Anolis sagrei: one gene and its partner. The protein of the gene in region 1 binds, or shares a complex with, the protein of each later gene. Links are inferred from orthologs where the notes say so. Each region holds a gene or a part of one and is shown in the gene's direction. Other genes may lie near its edges.

What was found. The genes of interacting proteins can lie anywhere in the genome.
Region 2: PPP4R1 (region 1) and PPP4C share a complex: the UniProt entries of both Homo sapiens proteins name them as parts of the PP4 complex. The link is inferred for Anolis sagrei from reciprocal best matches to the Homo sapiens genes PPP4R1 and PPP4C.

What each region holds. Positions count from the first base shown.
Region 1 is NC_090024.1:64,871,023-64,878,625, reverse strand, and holds the start of PPP4R1 (serine/threonine-protein phosphatase 4 regulatory subunit 1), read left to right. Parts: upstream 1-4,603; 5' UTR 4,604-4,831; coding exon 4,832-4,838; intron 4,839-4,939; exon of another isoform or gene 4,940-5,137; intron 5,138-5,276; coding exon 5,277-5,321; intron 5,322-7,603. UniProt on the Homo sapiens protein: Regulatory subunit of serine/threonine-protein phosphatase 4. May play a role in regulation of cell division in renal glomeruli. The PPP4C-PPP4R1 PP4 complex may play a role in dephosphorylation and regulation of HDAC3.
Region 2 is NC_090026.1:17,473,434-17,480,353, forward strand, and holds the start of PPP4C (serine/threonine-protein phosphatase 4 catalytic subunit), read left to right. Parts: upstream 1-3,918; 5' UTR 3,919-4,126; intron 4,127-6,424; 5' UTR 6,425-6,432; coding exon 6,433-6,530; intron 6,531-6,662; coding exon 6,663-6,714; intron 6,715-6,920. UniProt on the Homo sapiens protein: Protein phosphatase that is involved in many processes such as microtubule organization at centrosomes, maturation of spliceosomal snRNPs, apoptosis, DNA repair, tumor necrosis factor (TNF)-alpha signaling, activation of c-Jun N-terminal kinase MAPK8, regulation of histone acetylation, DNA damage checkpoint signaling, NF-kappa-B activation and cell migration.

The sequences.
Region 1 (7,603 bases):
TTCAGAAGATTTCACCTCACCTTCTGTCCCTGTGATAATTGGATTTTGAAAAATTTGGCTTGTTGTGGATGAAAGGATTGGTGACAAAGTTTCAGTGAAGACATCTTTTCCCCATGATAACTCTTTCAGGAGTAAATTTCCCTTTAGAGGGATAGATGCCTCTCATTTCCTGTTGTCATTTGTAAGTCAGAGGTTTGTAACTTGAGGACTGCCTATAAGCGGAATGGCAACCCAACAGAATTTGTGGCTCTGAGGTTGGGGAAAAGGTTTGTTTATTTTGTGTCAAAAGTATTGCATAAACAAACAAGTATAAAACTGATAAAATAGAGGAGTGGCTCGCAACCTGCGGGTCCCCAGGTGTTTTGGCTTACAACTCCAACCAATTTACCAGCTGTTAGGATTTCTGGGAGTTGAAAGCCAAAACATCTGAGACCCACAGATTGAGAATCACCAAAACAGAGGGAACACAAGCAGCTAAGTAATTTTAGACCAAAAATAGGCAACAGCAACTGCATTGTCTATAGCTTTAAACCAGCAGTTCCCAATCTGTGGTCTATGGACCATCAGTGAATGAGAATATGGTCCGCGGCTTCACATTACTACGCAGTTGCCTCAGAACCACGCAGCGAGAGTGACTGGTCTCACGAAATCCTCTTATGGTGCCAAGGCAACGGGGATGTCTGGAGGGGAGAGGCTGATTACCCACAAAAGATTACTACGACCACATCAGCTGTAGATTATTAAATATGGTTTTCTGTGAGCGAGCAGATGGCAACTACTGGATGGTATTTGTTTGGTATAAGAAACTAGATACAATGCGGTCTATCCAATGCAATTTTCTGAATCAGCACCCCAAATAACCAAACTGAATCTAAAGTTGACCAAAAACTGATCATAACCCTTTTGGTATTGATGTTGGAAAGTGGTCCCTGGTCTAAGTGGGCCCTGGTGAAAAAAAGGTTGGGAACTACGGTTTTAAACAGTTCTTCCTCTGTGCATGAGGCAGGGCATTGTGGGCAAGCATAGAGATGCTGAGTTGTTTGTTCTGCTCCACAGTAGCACAAGGTGGACGATTCTTCTAGATCAGTGGTTCTCAACCTGTGGGTCGCCAGATGTTTTGGCTTTCAACTCCCAGAAATCCAAACAGCTGGTAAACTGGCTGGGATTTCTGGGAGTTGTAGGCCAAAACATCTGGGGACCCACAAGTTGAAAACCACTGTTCTAATTCATGCCATTTTGCCAGGTTGTCTTCTGATCTCCCAACACCACTTCTGAATCTGTTCAGGGACTTCCAAGTTGCCCCATTCTTGGTTTGTCCCTGGAGGAAGACCCTCATGGGGGCCATCCAGTTGGGATTTCCTGGTTTAGTTGCCCAGAGGGATTCTCCTGCTGTTGCTGCGGGGATGCCAAGAGGAGTGGTGGTTCTCAAGAAACTTTCCTTTGATTTGAGTCTACTGGGAGGAGGCTAATAGCCATGCAAGTGGGTAGCTTTCACAGTATTCAATCTTATTTCTCCCACGGTTGGGGGGGGGGGGATGTAATTGTTGTTTATTCATTCAGTCGCTTCCAACTCTTCATGACCTCATGGACCAGCCCAAGCCAGAGCTCCCTGTTGGCCGTCTCCATCCCCAGCTCCTCCAGAGTCAAGCCAGTCACTTCAAGGATACCATCCATCCATCTTGGGGGTGGGTGGGTGTAATGCGACCTAGCTTATAGAGCAGGCATGGGCAAACTTCGGCTGTTAGGAATTTGTGGGAGTTGAAGTCCAAAACACCTGGAGGGCCGAAGTTTGCCCTTGCCTGATTTAAATTAAATCCCCATTATTCCAACTATGGTGGCGCAGTGGGTTAAACCACTGAGCTGCTGAACTTGCTGACTGAAAGCTTGGTGTTTCAAATCCAGAGAGTGGGTGAGCTCCTGCTGTCAGGCCCAGCATCTGCCAACTTAGCAGTTTGAAAACATGCGAAGGTGAGTACATCAGTAAGTACCGCTTCTGTGGCGCAGGATTGTGGTGCAGCTGGCTGAGTGTCAGCTGCATTAAGATCACTCTGACCAAAAGATCATGAGTTCGAAGCCAGTCCGGGTTGGAGTGGGTTTCCAACCATTGTGTAGCCTGTTGTTGACCTTTGCAACCCGAAAAGTTGCAAAGGTCAACAACAGGCTACACAATGGTTGGAAACCCACTCCAACCCGGACTACAACCAGGCTACACAGTTGCATCTGTCAAGTAGGAAAATTAGGTACCACCTTAAAGTGTGGGGAAGCTAATATTAACTGATTTATGAGGCCATAAAAAGAAGACTCCAGCAAAGCATTCCTGCGGTGAAGCATGCGGGGAATGTGGAAGTGCTTCATCAGCGTCGCAGATGGACGATGAAAGCGACAGCTCCCCTGGCGGCGAGAAAAAGTTAAATAGCCTCTGTGTATGATTGTATGTAAAAAAATTGGCATTGAATGTTTGCCATATATGTGTACACTGTAATCTGCCCTGAGTCCCCTGCGGGGTGAGAAGGGCGGAATATAAAAGCTGTAAATAAATAAATAAGGTAACGGTGCTCCATGCAGTTATGCTGGTCACATGACTTTGGAGGTGTCTACAGACAATGCCGGCTCTTCAGCTTCGAAATGGAGATGAGCACCACTCCAGAGATTTGGACTTGACTAGACTTAATGTCAAAGGGAAACCTTTCCCTTTGCCTATCCTAAGTAAACTTCAGAGGCCCCTCCCCCTTCTGGCACCAACGACTGCTCTGGCCAGAGAGAAGACAGAGGGGAGCAGAAGACACTGCCATCTTGTCTTCTGCCTATATCATCACTTCAGAGGCCCCTCCCCCTTCTGGCACCAATGACTGCTCTGGCCAGAGAGAAGACAGAGGGGAGCAGAAGACACTGCCATCTTGTCTTTACTAATAATATAATATAGTATATTGTATATATATATAATATTTATAATATTATAATGTAATACAATATAATACTAGTAATAATAATTCAATATTATAATTATAATTATATATTTAATTACATGTAATATTACTAATAATATTACAATATAATGGTATAGTGCAATATAGTAATATATACTGATATTGTACTTTGCTAATAATATAATATATTGTATGAAAATATATATTGTAAGCCGCTCTGAGTCCCCTTCGGGGTGAGAAGGGCGGCATATAAGCGCCGTAAATAAATAAATAAATAAACAAACAGAACAAACTGGATGTGACTGTACTACAACGGTCATCAGTTCTAGTCCTGATGAGGAACATGGGAGTTGCAGTTCTGCCCAAGCATAAAAATGACAGGGCAGGGGAAAAGGATTCAACCTCACTACCTCTGAGGATGCTTGCCATAGATGCAGGCGAAACATCAGGAGAGAATGCCTCCAGAACATGGCCATATAGCCCGAAAAAACCTACAACAATCCAGTGATTCGACCTTGAGTTTGACACATAAGTCAAATAGTTGAACAGAGGAAGAAACTAAACAACCGAAGTAGGAAAATCGGTGCCAGGAGGAGACTTCGGGGCCAGGCAAAAGAGAAGTGGTGAAATGAACAGAGCAAAAGCCAGAAGAGGAATGTAAAAATCTGAATTCAGGGCAGGAGCTGGGAAGGAGACCTGGAGGGGTTGCAAGGAGGTTTCAGAGGGGTCTCCAAAGACCATCAGAAAATATATATTTCTGATGGTTTTAGGAACCCCTTTGGCAAAGAAGACTGAAGATATGTCAACCTGTCCTTCTCTTCCTTTTTGGAAACAGATGGTGAATCTTCCCACCAAAAGCACTCCTCTGCTCTGAACAAAAAAATTCCCTCAGGCACTAGCAAGCCACACCAAAAAACTGCCAGGCCATCAAATGCTAATCAAGGTGGTCAGTTGTAACATTCACACCTAGCTCCAGCAGACAAGGGTTCTTTGTCCCACTCTGGTCATTCCACAGATATATAAACCCATTTTCCTAGTTTCAAGAGACCTCACTACCTCTGAGGATGCTTGCCATAGATACAGGCGAAACGTCAGGAGAGAATGCCTCGAGAACATGGCCATATAACCCGAAAAAATCTACAGCAACCCAGTGATTCAATATTGAGTTTGACACATAAGTCAAGTAGTTGAACAGAGGAAGAAACTAAACAGCCAAAGTAGGAAAATCGGTGCCAGGAGGAGACTTGGGGGCCAGGCAAAAGAGCAGTGGTGAAATGAACAGAGCAAAAGCCAGAAGAGGAATGTAAAAATCTGAATTCAGGGAAGGAGCTGGGAAGGAGGCCTGGAGGGGTTGCAAGGAGGTTTCAGAGGGGTCTCCAAAGACCATCAGAAAATATATATTTCTGATGGTTTTAGGAACCCCTTTGGCAAAGAAGGCTGAAGATATGTCAACCTGTCATTCTCTTCCTTTTTGGAAACTTCGGGGCCAGGCAAAAGAGCAGTGGCGAAAAGAACAGAGCAAAAGGAGGCCTGGCGTGGCAAGCGGGGGCAAGGTATTGCTTCTAGTCCTCTGCAGAGCCGGCCTTGAGAGGCCCGCGGAGGCCTGCCTTCCTTTCTTTACTCTCTCTCTCTGTCCCTCCCTCTCTTCCTTCGGGCTGCCGGGGCTCGCCCTGGTTCCCTCCCCGGCAGAGGCGAAGGCGGGGGCAGCAGCAGCGGTGGCGTTGGTGTCCGGCCCAAACCCCTCCCTCCCTGTCTCTCTGCCCGCCTCTCCCTCTCTCTCGGGCGCCTGCCTTCGCGGGAGACTCTCCCGGGGACGCCCGGAAGCACCGCTTGGGCCTAGAAGGCCTCTCTCCGCCTCAGCCTCCCCTCCATGGTCGACCCCAAGCGGGGAGGCCTCAGGAAACATGGCGGGTAGGTTGCGCGCGCCTCCCTCTCCCCTTCCCTCCCTCCTTCCTTCCTCAAAAGAAGCACCAGGAAAAGAGGGAAGTCTACTCTTCACAGGAGACCGGCCTGAGGAAGGGGTGCCTCCTTCCTTCCTTCTCTTCCTGCTTCCCTTCCTTCCTTCTCTCCGCGCCTGCGTCGGGGACACGGTTGCGGGGGGACACACACATACATGTAGTGTACAAAGGAGGGAGGGAAGGAAGGGCTTGTGGGACGCCTTGGCCCACGGTAGGCCTCGCCCTTCGATTCCCCCTCAGCGCGAGGAAAAGGTGAGGCCTTCACGCCCCTCGGAGACAAAGAGGGCGAGGCCGGGAAAGGAAGCCCCTTCCCTCCCTCAGCTGCAGCTTATATTCCTGCCGTATTGTTTTGATGTAACACCCTTCCTCTTTCCCTCTCCCCCAAATCCAGATCTGTCGCTGCTTCAGGAGGACCTGCAGGAGGAGATAGACGGATGTGAGTACCGGCTTCTATCGACCACCTCCCTTTCCTCTCCTTTCCTCATTCCCAAGGCGGGGAGAAATAGAGAGAGACACACAGAGAGAGAGGTCTTGACATTGCCCAGGAGGATGGAGGCCCGGGTTGCATTGTGGGAGGAAGCAGCCATGCTTTTAAGCAGCGCCTTCACTCCAACACAGGCCTGGCTTGGTTTATAAAGTTCTCCCCCGCGCCTCTTTGTATGTTTCTTTCCTTCCCGCACCTCCCATTCGTTTGCTTTTTGATTCCCCTGAAGGCTGCTGAGAGGAAATGGGGAAAGCCATGAGTTTGATGGGTCGGTTGTGCTGTCAGCAAGGGCTGCTGCTAGTCTTAAGGAGGGGGTTTAGGTCAAGTTTTGTGCAAAATGCTTGTGTACAATAGAAGGTAATAGTATGATAGCTGGGTCCGGAAGCTAGGAGCGTGACAGTGTTTCCACTTCACTCCTTCAGAAGCGCTGTTTGCACAACGCGATATTATAGAAGGAATGTAAGAGTTCTTTAATGGTAAAACCCAAACCCTTACCCAAACCCTAAATCTTACCCTAATCCTAACCCTAACACAAACACTAACCTCAAAGCTTACCCTACCTTATCCTAAACCATACCCTAAGCCTAACCCCTAACCCTTACTCTAACACAAACCCTAACCCTTAAAGCTTACCCTACCTTATCCTAAAGCTTACCCTAAGCCTAACCTCTAACCCTTACTCTAACACAAACCCTAAACCTAAAGCTTATCCTAAAGCTTACTCTACCATATCCTAAAGCTTACCCTAAGCCTAACCCCAAATCCTAACCCTAACACAAACCCTAACCCTAAAGCTTACCCTACCTTATCCTAAACCTTACCGTAAGCCTAACCACAAACCCTAACCCTAAAGCTTACACTAAATCTTACCCTACCTTATCCTAAACCTTATCCTAAGCCTAACCCCTAATCCTAACTCTAATGAAAACCCTTACCCTACCTTATCCTAAGCCTAACCCCTAATCCTAACCCTAAAGCTTACCCTACCTTATCCTAAACTTGATCCAAACCCTAAACCTTTCCCTAAACATTTCCCTAAAACTTATCCTAACCCTCCCCTCCTTTCTGTCCTTCTACCCTCACGTGGTCCCTTTCCTTATTCACAACAGTCGTTGCAGAATGTGTGTAATGCTCGGAGCTTCTGGACCCAGCTATCATACTGTCACCTAGTAGAGTCTTGTATATCCAACTAGGAAAAGTATGATAGCCGGGACCAATGCTAGTTTTGTGATGTGGGTCAGAATTAGAGAAGTGAAGACGTTACGTATTTGAATGTGTTTGCATACGATATCCGGATAGCCTTAAGCACTATGCTTGGCTGTTTGTTGCCCCCCCCTTCTGTCCCCCCCTTTTTCTGGCAAACTATCTTGCCATGACTCTGTCGCACCTGCGTCTCTCACTCGCTGCCCTATCTCGGGATTGGGTCACAGCTATCATACTTTTGCCACCTTCGCTCATCCAGCGTTCTGTATTATCCAATGCAATCTGCCTTGCGCCCGGATCCACAGCTGTTTCAATACATTGCAATGTTTTGGTGCTAAATTTGTAAATCCAGTAATTACTACATAACAATACCATGTATTGAACTGCTTTTGCTTTCAATTTTTCCATGTATTGAACTGCTTTTTCTTTCGATTTGTTGTAAAACATGATGTTTTGGTGCTTAATTTGTAAAACCATAAATGATTTTTAAAAGGTTTTTCCTTAATCCCTCCTTATTATGCAACATTTTTGCTTATCCAACATTCTGCCGGCCCGATTATGTTGGATAAGCAAGACTCTACTGTAATAGGGATGGTGTTGTCCTGTGCAGGCGGCCTCTGGGTTACAAACAAGACTGGTAACTTCACTCAGGCACAGGCCTGGCTTGATTTATAAAGTTCTTCCTCTCACTGTTTTGTATGCCCCCCGCCTCTTTTCATTTTCTTTTTATTTCCCTGAGTGGAAATGGGAAAGGCCATGAGTTTGATGGGTCGGTTGTGCTGCCAGTGAGGGCTGCTACTAGTCTTAAGGAGTGAGATTTAGGTCAAGTTTTGTGCAAGATGCTTGTGGCAACAGTCATGTAATAGGGACGGTATTGTCCTGTGCAGGCAGCCTCTGGGTTACAAACAAGACTGGTAACTCGGTTGTTTTTTAAAATGTAGTTTTGGATAGCATAAGGAAAGGTTATTATTATTATTATTATATTTGTTTTTGAAGGCTTTGGCCGGAATCACTGCATTGCTTTGAGTTTT
Region 2 (6,920 bases), on another chromosome or scaffold:
GGGGGAGTGTCTCCACCAAGGTTTCATCCCCAATTACTGTTTCCAGATGAAACCAAATTTTTCAAGACTGGAGTTATACCTAAAAATGGACTGAGAGAGACATCGTTAATTGATGATAATGTGTATTTAATTCTCTGTCAAAGTGATAATGCCTTACAACCCTATTTGGGGGTGTGTGACAGACCTTTTATGGGCCATGCATTCTGTCGCTATTGCTAGGCCCTCAATAAACAGCTTCCACGGTTGGTATTCAATTTGTGGTATGTCTTCCATTACATCATCCTCTTGAGCCCAGGGGACTCCTGACAATGTGCAGAGAGCAGGAGGAATTCCAGAGAGCCATTCCCCCTACAGTACCTGTTTCGAATTCTGGACCAGAGGCACTCCAAGTGGCCAGATACTGGTCAAAGGACACTTAATCAACTACCAAGCTTGCAAATTTTGTTTTGTGCCTGTTTGTTTGTTTGTTTTGTTCTGTTAGAAATGTAATACAATTATGATTGCCCCTGACACAATAAATAAATAAATAAACCTGTTTCGACTTACATACCAATTCAACTTAAGAACTGGAGCCCCTGGTGGCGCAATGAGTTAAACCCTTGTGCTGCCAGCACTGAAGACTGACAGATCGGAGGTCCGAATCTGAGGAGAGTGAGGATGAGTTCCCTCTGTCAGCTTCAGCTCCCTATGCAGGGACATGAGAGAAGCCTCTCACAAGGATGGTAAAACATCAAAACATCCGGGCGTCCCCTGAGCAACGTTCTTGCAGACGGCCAATTCTCTCACACCTGAAACAACTTGCAGTTTCTCAAGTCGCTCCTGACACACACAAAAAAACCCCAAAACTTAAGAACTAACCTATACAACCTATCTTGTTTGTAACTTAGGGGCTGCCTGTATTCCTTGAGTAAGAATGCATCTACACTGTGGCATTCACTCAGCTTGTTAACACTTTAACTGCCAAGGCTCAATGCTATGGAATCCTATTTTAAGAAGAAAAAGAAGAAGACAAAGAAGAAGAAGGAGAAGAAGAACTTTATTTTTCTAACCCGCCTCCATCTCCCTGAAGGGACTCGGGGCGGCTTACATGGGGTCCAAGCCCAAAGCAGAATACAATTAAAAACAAAGCAAAAAACAATTACGAGAGCATAAACAGTGTAAAACAACATAATAATAGCTAGCAACAACAATAACAGCAGACTAATTTTGGAGAGGGGGAGGAAAACCACTACGTGAACTAGTTAAAGCATAAGTGGTTTAGTAAGGTGGATAACGACATAGGAAACATCATGGAAACAGAGTAAATTAACAGGATCAGTTAATATACTATAGGACATCAAATTGAATGACAATTCAAGTCATGATACAGGTCATTTATCATAGGTGTCGTCAATCGAAAGCACGACAAAACATACACATCTTTCATTCCTTACAGAATGTGGCTAGGGAGGGTGCCAGCCTAATCTCCCTGGGGAGGGAGTTCCAGAGATGGGGGGCCAGAGGCCACCACCGAGAATGCCATCGTCCAGTCGTTCCATATTTGCCTGTTTCGCTGCATTCGCGAAAGCTTGCCCAAAGAGCCAAGTTTTGACTTTTTCCCCTGAAATCTCAGGAAGAACATAAGCAGATACTATATTTTTGCCTTAGGGCCCTTCTACACAGCCCTATATCCCAGCATATCAAGGCAGAAAATCCACAATATCTGCTTTGAACCGGGTTATCTGAGTCCACACTGCCATATATTCCAGTTCAAAACAGATGTGGGATTTTCTGCCTTGATCTTCTGGGATATAGGGCTGTGTGGAAGGGTCCTTCGAGATGGTACGATTTGGTCTCCACTTTCCTGCCCTGTAACCTGGCAACTTTAATGTATGTAGCCCAGGCGTGGGCCAGCTTAAGTGGCTGAGGGGAAAAAGGAAAGGGCCTGAGGCTTTTAGGAATGGTGGGAGTTGGAGTCCAAAACACCTGAAGGGCCCAAGTTGGCCCATGCCTATTGTAGGCCTGTGTGAGGAGATTTTGCTTTTCATAATTGCAATTGTTGTGGCCCATAAGAAAAGGAAGGGGCCTGAGGCTTTTAGGAATGGTGGGAGTTGGAGTCCAAAACACCTCGAGGGTCCAAGTTGGCCCATGCCTATTGTAGGCCTGTGTGAGGATTTTTTGCTTTTCATAATTGCAATTGTTGTGGCCCATAAGAAAAGGAAGGGGCCTGAGGCTTTTAGGAATGGTGGGAGTTGGAGTCCAAAACACCCCGAGGACCCAAGTTGGCCCATGCCTACTTATTTATTTATTTATCATGTCATCAGCAACCATACCATTGTATTACATTTCTAACAGAAAAAAACAAACAAACAGATTTAAAAAGCACACATTTTGCAAACTTGGTAGTTGATTAAATGTCCTTTGACCAGTATCTGGCCACTTGGAGTGCCTCTGGTGTTGCTGCAAGAAAGTCCTCCATTGTGCATGTGGAAGGGCTCAGGCTGCACTGAAGCAGGTGGTCTGTGGTTTGCTCTTCTCCGCACTTGAATGTCGTGGATTCAGCTTTGTAGCCCCATTTCTTAAGATTGGCTCTGCATCTCGTGGTTCCAGAGCGCAGTCTGTTCAATGCCTTCCAAGTCGCCCAGTCTTCTGTGTGCCCAGGAGGGAGTCTCTCATCTGGTATCACCCATGGATTGAGGTGCTGGGTTTGAGCCTGCCACTTTTGGACTCTCGCTTGCTGAGGTAGACCTACTGTAGACCTGTGTGAGGAGTTTTTGCTTTTCATAATTGCAATTGTTGTGGCCCATAAGAAAAGGAAGGGGCCTGAGGCTTTTAGGAATGGTGGGAGCTGGAGTCCAAAACACCTCGAGGGTCCAAGTTAGCCCATGCCTATTGTAGGCCTGTGTGAGGAGTTTTTGCTTTTCATAATTGCAATTGTTGTGGCCCATAAGAAAAGGAAGGGGCCTGAGGCTGTAGGGAATGGTGGGAGTTGGAGTCCAAAACACCTCGAGGGCCCAAGTTGTCCCATGCCTATTGTAGGCCTGTGTGAGGAGTATTTGCTTTTCATAATTGCAATTGTTGTGGCCCATAAGAAAAGGAAGGGGCCTGAGGCTTTTAGGAATGGTGGGAGTTGGAGTCCAAAACACCTCGAGGGTCCAAGTTGGCCCATGCCTATATTAGGCCTGTGTGAGGATTTTTTGCTTTTCATAATTGCAATTGTTGTGGCCCATAAGAAAAGGAAGGGGCCTGAGGCTGTAGGGAATGGTGGGAGTTGGAGTCCAAAACACCTCGAGGGCCCAAGTTGTCCCATGCCTATTGTAGGCCTGTGTGAGGAGTATTTGCTTTTCATAATTGCAATTGTTGTGGCCCATAAGAAATGGAAGGGGCCTGAGGCTTTTAGGAATGGTGGGAGTTGGAGTCCAAAACACCTCGAGGGTCCAAGTTGGCCCATGCCTATATTAGGCCTGTGTGAGGAGTTTTTGCTTTTCATAATTGCAATTGTTGTGGACCATAAGAAAAGGAAGGGGCCTGAGGCTTTTAGGAATGGTGGGAGTTGGAGTCCAAAACACCTCGAGGGCCCAAGTTTGACCATACCCGCTATAAAAGGAAAAGGCCTGAGGCTGTTAGGAATTGTGGGAGTTGTAGTCCAAAAGACCTGGAGGAGTGGTGTCAATGACACCTAAAAAAATCCCTCTGGCATTCATATGGGCGCCTATAATCCTGTACATGAAACATCATGGAGGGAAGAGCTGGAATGACAAGGAAGCGTCGAGAAAGAGAGAGAAAAAAAGCTAAACCGGAAGTAGGCCCGGGAGACATTTTGAGCGACACATGGAGAGGCCGCCCTTGCGTCACTTCCGGAGCCTCCTCCGCTCCTTTTAAATCCCCACCCCTGCCTTGAATTAAGAAGAGAACTGAGAAAATGATGTCACTTCCGGGGGAATCAGGGGAAAGTCAGTCGGCCTCCATCCACAGCTGGGCCTCAGTCGAAGGAGGAAGCGGAAGTGACGCCCTGTGTTCTGTAGTTAGTGAGAGCCGGAAAGACAGAGGCAGAGAGAGAGAGAAAGGGAGAGGAGAGGGGGAAGGGCCGGGCCCGGAGCCGGAGGGAGCCGCGGAGCAGCCATCACCGCCTCTGCCGGGACCCCAAGTGAGTGGCGAGGCTCCTTCTGCGCATGCGCCTCGCTTCCCCCTTGGTGTTGAGGGGCGGGGGAGGCGGGTTGCCATAGAGACCGGGGTTCGAAGGAGGAGGGGTCAGGGGCCTTGGGAGGAGGAGGGGAAAGGCCTCCCCTCGGGTACTGTCTCGAAGACCTGGAAGAAGCCCCCCATCTGCCATGCAGGGGCACATCATCAAAGCACCCCCGACAGATGGCCAGCCCGCCTCAGGTTAAAAACCTCCAGAAAAGGACACTCCACCATCTTCCCAGGCAGCATAGAATGCTTAGTTTGTTTTCTTTAGGGCCAACTTGGGCCCTCCAGGTGTTTTGGACTCCAACTCCCGCCATTCCTAACAGCCTCAGGCCCCTTCCTGGGGGAAAAGGAAGGGGCCTGAGGCTGTTAGGAATGGTGGGAGTTGGAGTCCAAAACACCTGGAGGGCCCAAGTTGGCCCATGCTTGGGTTAGACTATTGAGGAGGAGAATTAGGATTGGGTTGGACTGTCTTTCCTCTGTTTCCTTCTTCATTCTGGTAGAAGTCCATCTGTGTGGTTCTCAACCTGTGGGTCCCCGGATGTTTTGGCCTTCAACTCCCAGAAATCCTAATAGCTGGGAATTCTGGGAGTTGTAGGCCAAAACACCTGGAGACCCACAGGTTGAGAACCACTGTGTTATTGGTTGCCAACTCCCAGAAATCCTAACAGCTGGGAATTCTGGGAGTTGTAGGCCAAAACACCTGGGGACCCACAGGTTGAGAACCACTGTGTTATTGGTTCATGGATTCTTGGATGGAATGGGGAATGTGAGAGCCTTCAGATGCTCATGGATTGCAGCTCACATTACTCTTACCTCATAACAACAATGATATACGTTTTACTTATCTCTCTTACTTACCTCTTTTACTTATCTCGTTACTTATCTCTCTTCAAAGCAGGGCACTGTTAAAATTTATAGATAAAGACATAAGACCATGAATACTATAAAAGGCATACGATTAGTCAGGGGTGAAGGGGAGGTCACAGTCTGATAGAATATGGAAGGCCCAATATTCATATAAAAGGATTGATTGATTTGTCGAAGGCTTTCATGGCTGGAATCACTCAGTTCTTGTGGGTTTTTTCGGGCTATATGGCCATGTCCTAGAGGCATTTCTCCTGACGTTTCGCCTGCATCTATGGCAAGCATCCTCAGAGATGACCTCACCAGGCAAAACGTCAGGAGAAATGCCTCTAGAACATGGCCATATAGCCCGAAAAAACCCACAAGAACTGATTGATTGATTGTTTGCCTGTTTTAATATTTCTTCCATTTCTTTACAGCAGGAATGAGCCAGGTTTGGCCCTCCAGGTGTTTTGGACTTCAACTCCCACAATTCCTCACTGCAAGTAGATATATAAACCCAATTTTCCTAGTTCCAGCAGACCTCACTACCTCCGAGGATGCTTGCCATAGATGCAGGCGAAACGCCAGGAGAGAATGCCTCTAGAACAGTGGTTCTCAACCTGTGGGTCCCCAGATGTTTTGGCCTTCACCTCCCAGAAATCCTAACAGCTGGTAAACTGGCTGGGATTTCTGGGAGTTGGAGGCTGAAACACCTGGGGACCCAAAGGTTGAGAACCACTCCTCTAGAACATGGCCATATAGCCTGAAAAAATCTACAACAACCCAGCAAGTAGACTGTTAGGAATTGTGGGAGTTGAAGTCCAAAACATCTGGAGGGCCCAAGTTGGCCCATGCCTGCTTTACAACAATTAGATAATACTGGAAACAGGACCTATGCCTGGGGTTCTTATCATTTAGGGTTTATCCTCCAGGGGATTATTTGGAGATGTCTTTAGTTTTATCTTATGCGCATCATAGATGTACAGTTGAGTCTCGCTTATCCAACCTTTGCTAATCCAATGTTCTGTATTATCCAACACAATCGGCCTCCCACCCGGATCCACAGATGTTTCAATACATTGTGATGTTTTGGTGCTAAATTCATAAATACAGGAATTACTACAAAACTTTACTGTGTATTGAACTGCTTTTTCTGTTGATTTGTTGTAAAGCATGATGTTTTGGTGCTTCATTTGTAAATAATAGGCTTTTCCTTAATCCCTCCTTATTATCCAACATTTTTGCGTATCCAACGTTCTGTCAGCCCGTTTATGTTGGATAAGCAAGACTCTACTGTATGTCCTCGTTTTATTCATTGTCAAGGCCTTTAGTATACTGATATGGAAACTTTTTATAAAATGTGGCCGAGGAATGTTTTTAAAAAGGAATTGCATCCATTCTTCTCCTACAGGGGGAAAGATGGCCGAAATCAGTGACCTTGACCGTCAGATTGAACAACTACGGCGCTGTGAACTCATTAAAGAGAGTGAAGTCAAAGCCCTCTGTGCCAAAGCCAGGTGAGTAGTTGGCGACATTTTTAAAAAACTCTTATTTATTATTTATGGCCTCTCTGGCCTCCAGGACATCTCTGTTCTGGAGCTGGGAAATGTATAATTAGTTAAGTATAATGTATCTTTTCTCCCCAACAGAGAGATTTTGGTGGAAGAAAGCAATGTCCAGAGAGTAGATTCCCCAGTAACAGTAAGTAAAAATGCTCATGGGATGTTCAGTGGTACTTTGGGGCTGGGCTGCTGGTGGAGGCTCCTTCTTTGGAGGCTTTTAAACAGAAGCTGGATGACCATCTGCCGGGGGTGTTTTGAATGTAATTTTCCTGCTTCTTGGCAGGGGGTTGGACTGGATGTCTCATGAGGTCTCTTCCAACTCAATGATTCTATGATAGTATAATC